Tribolium castaneum: one gene and its partner. The protein of the gene in region 2 purifies or fractionates together with the protein of the main gene of each other region. This does not show direct contact. Links are inferred from orthologs where the notes say so. Each region holds a gene or a part of one and is shown on either strand. Other genes may lie near its edges. The genes, in order: Rpt4 and proteasome adapter and scaffold protein ECM29.

The links.
Region 1: the proteins of proteasome adapter and scaffold protein ECM29 (region 2) and Rpt4 purify together in Homo sapiens (affinity purification with western blotting; 3 studies listed by BioGRID and IntAct, with this or other methods). This does not show direct contact. The link is inferred for Tribolium castaneum from reciprocal best matches to the Homo sapiens genes ECPAS and PSMC6.

The regions. Positions count from the first base shown.
Region 1 is NC_087394.1:9,241,822-9,245,745, forward strand, and holds the start of Rpt4 (26S proteasome regulatory subunit 10B), read right to left. Parts: upstream 2,335-3,924; 5' UTR 2,205-2,334; coding exon 2,111-2,204; intron 2,064-2,110; coding exon 1,944-2,063; intron 1,896-1,943; coding exon 1,285-1,895; intron 1,230-1,284; coding exon 1,015-1,229; intron 1-1,014. UniProt on the Homo sapiens protein: Component of the 26S proteasome, a multiprotein complex involved in the ATP-dependent degradation of ubiquitinated proteins.
Region 2 is NC_087395.1:15,616,170-15,620,093, forward strand, and holds the start of proteasome adapter and scaffold protein ECM29, read right to left. Parts: upstream 2,750-3,924; 5' UTR 2,646-2,749; coding exon 2,615-2,645; intron 2,498-2,614; coding exon 2,367-2,497; intron 2,319-2,366; coding exon 2,202-2,318; intron 2,151-2,201; coding exon 1,882-2,150; intron 669-1,881; coding exon 539-668; intron 490-538; coding exon 350-489; intron 295-349; coding exon 25-294; intron 1-24. Other genes in the region: mucin-4, read left to right, coding at 3,114-3,197, 3,249-3,466, 3,517-3,924. UniProt on the Homo sapiens protein: Adapter/scaffolding protein that binds to the 26S proteasome, motor proteins and other compartment specific proteins. May couple the proteasome to different compartments including endosome, endoplasmic reticulum and centrosome.

The DNA of each region.
Region 1 (3,924 bases), on a different chromosome or scaffold from region 2:
ATTTTTTTTCGTCATTTCGCGAAAAAAGAGCCAGTTTTTCAGCCAGAAACACAATTATTTCGCAAAATTTCGCAAAATAATTAGAAACTGATGTTAGTTTCTCCCGATTTGGCTCGATTTTAAGCGGAATTTCTTCAAATTAAGCCGAAAAATTACAACATTTGATCCAAAACAACGATCAGTTCTTGAATTAAAATTTTAAGTTTAAAGATATTGCTAAAACAAATAGAAAAATCACCAAATTAAAACACAAAGTACTCAATGTTTTGCTTTTTTGAGTGTTTAGCACGTTTTTGAGTAAGAAACGAAAATATTTCATATTTATTTGAACCAAACTAAAAAATCAATAAAATTTCGCCAAAATAAATTGATTTTTGCTTTTTTCAGATAATTAATAATTAGCGAAAAATTTCGCTAATTAGCTAAAAAATTGCCAAATTTGATCGTAATTGATAGTAATTTAAAACTCATCAAATACAGCAACTTTTCTATACAACATTTTGCAAAATTCTTATTTAAAATTTTCATTGTTTTCCTCCTTTCTCTTCTGCAAACGAGCCGATCATTGTTTAATAATTGGTTTGTATTCTTTCCATTCTTGTTTTAAATTGTTTAAATTGTCTGTTTCTATCACAACGAAAATAGTTCAGCTCTTTTATTTTTGAACCCATAGGCACAAGTTTCATTATGATCTTTTTCCAAATTTTATGTAAATATGCGATTTTTATATTGAAAAATTACAAATAGAAAAGATGTTTTATTTGTTGAGTTCTGTTACCTGTTAAAATTAAGACACGTATTTCTGATACAGCCTGTATTTTGTAAAAACTTGTCAAAACACACCTCAAATTTAAAACAGTATTCTAACAAAATAAAATACAAATCTCTGTTTTACTGTGTTTGTTACTTATACGCCAAATTGTAATTTATTTATTTCATTTTTTTATCTTCTCTTAAAATGTTGGAACGTCACAACGAAATTAACTCAAAATTGTTTATTTATAATTCAATTACCTTAAGTCAGCGCCATTGAACGTGTCAGACAGCTTAACAATCGCTTCATAATCAATTTCCCCATGTTTCGCTATAGGCCCAGCATGGATTTTCAAAATTTCAAGTCGGGCTTGTTCATTAGGAAGCGGGATTTCAATTTTACGATCCAGACGACCTGGACGCAACAAAGCAGGATCCAAAGTATCGGGCCTATTCGTGGCCATAATCATTTTAACCTGAAATCAATACACAAATGAACAACTCCCAAAATTTCTCTCAAACCGAACTGACTTGACCAAGAGAATCAAACCCATCCATCTGATTCAACAACTCCATCAAAGTCCGCTGAATTTCCCGATCAGCTGACGTCCCCTCGGAAAACCTCCGACCCCCAATAGCATCGATCTCATCCATGAAAATAATGCAAGGCTGATGATCTTTCGCATAATTAAACATTTCTCGAATGAGTCGAGCCGACTCTCCAATGTATTTATCAACGATAGCACTTGAGACAACTTTGAGGAAATTTGCGTCCAGCTGTGAGGCCACAGCCCGGGCTAGGAGGGTTTTGCCAGTGCCTGGGGGGCCGTACAGGAGACAACCTTTCGGGGGGGTTATGCCCACCCTCATGAACAGTTCGGGGTTCATGAGGGGCAACTCTATGACTTCACGGAGCTCGCGAATTTGCTCGGACAAACCACCAATTGCCGAGTATGTGACATCGCCGGGGTCCTCATGACTCATGTTGTAAACAAGGGGGTCGACTTCTCGGGGCAAATAACGCATTATTGTCAACGTGGTCATGTCGAGAGCAACACGAGTCCCTGCTTTCAACTTGGTCTTATCAAGTTGCCGGCGACAGCCCACCACGTAACGGGGGCCATTCGTTGCCTTAACAATAACTAAAAAGCACTCTTGTTGATTACTGTTTTCACAAAAGAGAAACTCACATTTCTCCTCAGTTAGCTGTTTCAAAACCTCGCCAACAATTTGGCCCATGCTTTGCAGCGCCTTAAGGTCATTCTCTGACTTGTCGTATTGTTTTGTTAGGTCTTTTAACTGTTCTCGCACTGTTTAACAATTAGTAAAACAAATAAGTTAGAGGAGAGTGACTTACTCTCTTTCAAGCGAGACTCGACTTCTTTGTGTTCCACAAGTTTTTTCCGGTATTCCTGGAGGCTTTTCTCGCGTTCGGGCTCAGTTTGTGTCATTTTGACTCACTTTTTAGTCAGGATTTTCGAAAGTTATTTCACTAAAGGCACAATGACTGGCAGAACACCACAACACCGCACTTTTGGTTTTGACAGCAGGTAGGGAAATTTAATTTTTTCAAACATCGGCCAGAGTCGCCAACCTAGTGAATGCTTCAGTTTTACGGAATTTTGAAAGAACTTTTTTGTAACACAAGACATCTGTTTTAATTCTGTTCTGTAGGGAAAGAGGTCGTGTTACAAAATAATATTATCATATATTTTAAATACAAGGTGATTAAATTTAAGTAAGATGCAACCAACAATACACATTACATTTGAGGATTGCTCTAATTCTAATTAGTCAAAATAATAACTAATATTAATGTGTGCAGCGAGAATCAGGACCGCGCCAACGTACTAAAGAGTTAAGAAAAATTTCATTTTTGGCCAAAACAGTTTTTTCTTTATAAAAAAAAGTTGTTACTCCGAGTGCGTGTTTTTAGGCGACCGAAAAAAGCATACATTTTCAACCCATTGCAATAAAATTCTTGATATTTTTTTAAGAAATTTTGTGAAATAATCGATCATCTGATTAAATTGCATTTTCGTTTCGCTCTTAAACGTAAAATCATCAATGTTTTTAAACCAATTATACGATTTTTCAGTTTGTTTTTATCGAAATTTTGCAAAAAATGTGTCTTCAAATAAAAAACTATCAAATAATGCGAAGTAATACGTTTTTTTTTGCAAAAATTTAAGCATAAAAAAATATAACATTTTTTTATTCAATTTTATGATTTTTTTATTTTTACTTAATTTTATTTTATTCTAAATAATTGCGTTTTTTAGTACATTTTTCGACCGTTTTGTTGAAATATTTTTGGACAATTTTAAAAAATTTCGCTTGGTTATTTGTGAAAATTCATTAAACAACTGCGTTTTTGAATCAAAATGGGTTAAAATATCACAAAAATTAAAATAATCTACTTTTTATGCAATTTAATGAGTTTTTGGTTCATTTTAAAGAAATTTTGCAAAATAATTGCGTTTCTATAAAACGGGGTAAAACGCTTGAGGTAGCCAAATTAAATTAATAATTTATTAATATTGTAAATATTAAATGTTTACCGAATTTTTGAAATCTTGTGTTCAACTCGTCAGGAAAACTGATTTTTTTCTATTCATAACGTGTTTTTATCTTAGCTTTCCCTCAACACAAAATCGCACGTCTAAAATTCTTTAAAATCTTTTTTAATGTTTTTTTAGGATTTCCCGATTTCGCAAACTTTTTATTTCACCCTCTTTATATCCTGCCATTTTCTCTATTTTTGCAGGAAATCAAGCCCTCTAATAGGGCCTTCGACTGTAAAAAAATCATGTTCGGAAAAAATACCTTGAGACCTTAACGAATTTTTTTAGTTATTATAAATTTACTCGATTTTGCAAACTGCGTTAAAATGATTCGTATTTAAGGATTGCTCTAATTAGCCGAATCATTAACCAATTTGTCCTGCAAGAACCACGTGGAGGTTTAGAGCATTCTTGCCAAAAAAAAAGGAAATAAGGATGAGGTAAACAATGATCATTAGAAAATGAAGAGAATAATGAAATTATTGGTTATGAAATGAAAAAAATACAACACGTGAATCAAATATTTTTCATTTGGCGTTGAATAAAATGCACCTACCTTCATATGTAAATAATAAATAAATAATACACAATACGTCTCAATATATGG
Region 2 (3,924 bases):
AAAAATGAGCTATAATTTACTCACTATCTGACGAGATTCATGGTGAAGTTCAGGGCCAAAGTCTTGAGCCTGGTGTTGGTGTTACTGCCGTACAACGAGTCAAAAATCAGCTGAATGGAAGCGGGAAATGCGAAAGCCTTTCCTGTGATTCGGCACAAATAAGTCAAAAGTTTAAGCCTTATCCTGGTACTAGCAGCTGATTTGATCTGATCCTCTTTTAGATTTTTCGATTGTGAACCTAAAAACATGGTAAATAGGGGCATAACGACACTTAGGGAGCCCCAATCTACAGAGCTAAAAAAACACATTTAATAAGAAAAAATAAACGACAAAGGAGCAAATCAATTACCCGACGACTTTTTTCAATTCCATGTCGGCTAAATTAGCTACAGTGAAACGCGTATCGGCGGCTGCTACCACGAGGTGAATTAAAATATCCTCGTCTTTGAAAACACCATGTGCTAGAAATCGTACGATTCCCAGTTTGATCTACAAATTAGTTTCTGATTGATGAAGGGAAAAAAATTCGAATGTGTACCTCTTCCAGTTCTTCTGGTTTCAAGGGGTTGTTTAAAGTTATGCGTTTAAAGGAGTGAAGGCTCATGCAAGGGGGCACAGGGAGGGATACTGATCTTTGCTCATTTTCAGGCGTTTGAGGTGAAAGCGCCCTACAATTCAAGTCTGACTTGATATCTTAATTAAGTTTACGTTGGACTAAAATCAGGAGGGGACAGTGGGCAAAAGTCGAAGAGAAACAAAAAAAATACCAAAAAATATAAGAGAAAATAGCATTTTTTAGCAATTTATTTAAACTCTACGAATAGTGCGAATACGATTAAAGACATAAAAAACATTAAGAAAAAGATACATAATTAAGTTTACACAATTCTCTACAAATAAATTACTTTTCCTTGTATTTTACAAGTGGGTAAGTAATATTTTAATAATTAAGGTATTTTAGATGTTGCAAATCGTAAATAATGGCTTGAAAATATTTGTAGTTAGAAATACCAAAGACTTTAGATTTGATAACGTTAAAGATATCAAAAATTTATGTAAATATTTTGTTGTTAAATAAAAATTAGAACATGCTATTTGCTCCAACAAATAAATTAAAAAAAAACAAATAAATAAACAACTAAACTACACTACAAAAAGGAGATTTTAATAAATGCATAGCTAATTTTAGTGACTTGAAAGTGTAGAATTTAGCACTTAAACTGCAAAGTTTTCGGGCTTTAAAGATATTAATTTGTTTTTTTTTCAAGCCAATGCAATCATGAATTAATTTTTTAATTTTCAAACAATTACAGATTTTAACATTTGGAGAAAAAATCAGAAATAAATTTCTTAAATAACCACTTTGTATTTATTTCAAATTACAATCAACTTTTCGTACACATATTTGTCGATAGTTAACCGTAATTAACACATTTAAAAAATTAAGATTGTGAACTTTTCATAAAAAAAATATTCAACACAATTTTTTGTAATTTTTGAAAATTTTTATGACCCAATGTATTTTTTTTTATTTGATTTAAACCTATTATTAAGTTTCATAAGAACAAAAACTATTAAGTTTTTTTAAAACGTTAAAACTCAAATACTATTATTTAAAAAGAGATAAGACCTGACCTGTGAGGTAATGCTTTAATATCTAATGGTAAAAAACGATCTTTAAGTTTTTTTTTTTTTGTTTGAACTGTTTCTATTTAAGGGAGTTCAGTGTTGTTTCAACCTTAAGGAAACTGGATTCTCTAAAACTTTGCTAGTTTTTTGCTATTTTTGGTACTGTATTCGTAACTTTTTTAAAAAATATAGAAAGAAGCGTCAAATTTTCGCCCCCTAGTTTTAGTCCTCCGTATGTTTCATCATAATTACCCATAAGGCAAGAGAAGCATATCCAAGAGCATGTCAAGCAAATGTTTGGCAATTTGCGGCTTCTCATTCAAGCCAAACAAAGTCGCCACCTTCTCAGGCTCAGTCGGGACCTTAACTTTACCCAACACCAGTACAACCAACAAAAGAATGCTGTCCAAATGAGCAACAGGTTTCTGCTCCAACGCATTCAAAATGACTGGGACAAGTTCGGCCTGTCTGTCAGCACTCAGTCGTGGGAACCCCAGTTTAATATAAATAATTGTAAAATTCTAATTTTGGAAAAACATGAGTGAGGGGGCGTTTCAGTAATACAACCATACCGTGACAAATGAGGTAGATGCCGGGTCTTGATACTGTTTGATCAAATCTTCCACAGGCAGCTGGATTTGAGGCCGCGTTTTCACCCGTTTATTTACATGTATTAGCAGCTCCATCACCTTAAAATCAACAGTCAGTGCTGCATTTTTGATGAGTCATTATATTACTTTCTTGCGAACGCTTTCCTCAGGGGATGCCAGTTTTAGTAAAACGGGGGTCAGGAACTTAGAAAGGAGGTTTTGGAGCTGCTCGTCACTATCAGCTGAGCCCAAACGCAAAAACACCCGCTCCAGGAGCACTAAAACACAAGTAACAAAAACATTACAAAAAATATTTAAAAAATGTGTGTTTACGTTATTAACACAGCGCACACATGCTTTTAATACGTAATTTGTTTTTTATTTAAAATACTCACTCAATTCATTTGCAGAGTCCGCCATGGCCATATTTATTTATTTGGCAGCTCCTGTCAAACAAATGTAGCAAAAAATCCCTAACACAAAAATTCGAAAACGTTGCAAAATTACAACATTCATTAAAATTACAACGTGTGAACGTGGCAAATACTCAACTAGTTCATAAAAATGTAATTAATTGGATGTGTGAAATAACATTTTCGGCCACAAGAATGTCGGGAGCGGGCACGAGTGCACAATAACACGATTTTCTTTAAATTTTAAAATTTAAAGAGCTTTCAAGTTTCAATTAAATCACGTTAAATCGTTCTTTGGCTATTTTTTGATAATTATTATATTTTTTTTTGAAAAATTGTCGGGGTAGCCAACCGCACCCTACCAAACTTCCCTATCGCGGGGCCATGACACAGAATTCCCGCGTTGACATTGAGACGCTAAGTTTGTGATCGATGTGTTTTAAATAAGTTTTCGGGCTCTCTATGTTAGTAAGGCTTTAAAATGAACGAAATAGTGTCCCAAGTGCAAAGCGGGAGCTTTGATCTCATTGAATTATTTAACGAAAGAACAAATGAGATTGCTGAGGTTTTTTTGCACTTGTGGTGTAAACTCTTACTAAAAGCGGTTGTCTTCCAGATAAAGGCTGCGGTTAAGAGGCTAACAAGTACTCTACCTAGAGATAAGTGCATTGATGTTTTCGTAACGAAACTTGTACCGGCTATGTTTGCCAAAAATGTAGATGACTGGATTAGAGACGAGCTGATTGAGCTTGGCTCTCATTTCGTCCAGTTTGTTACTGTTTCCACGTTAGATACCAAAGACCAAGAGGAAGTCTTCGCTGCGATTGACAACACGTGAGTCAGTTACACGAGAAATGAGCTAGTCACAATGTAACGAATTTAAGGTACATTAAAGTTGTCGGCCAGTTGCGAGACAGTAACTACCCGCATTGGGACCAACTGTGGGAGTTTTTGATTAAGTTAAGCAACGAGAAGCTCCACTCGAGGCAAGGCACCGGTAACAAACTGCTGAAAGAGGTGGAGGTTGCGTTCCGAAACTCCTCCTCAACCGAGCAGAGACTGAAAGCGTACGACTGTTGGAAGGAATTGATAAACAACAGTAGCCTAAACATGGAGTACATGTGCAGCGCCAAACAGCTCAAATTACTGGTGACCCCCATGAAGGCCAAATTTTCGAGAACCCCAACCGTTATCATAAAGCGTTGCGACACCTACATCTATTTGTTGGAGAAGTTGCAAGACAAGGCCACTTTATGTCTGAAGGAGTTTCTAGAGTTTTGCTTTGGACCGTT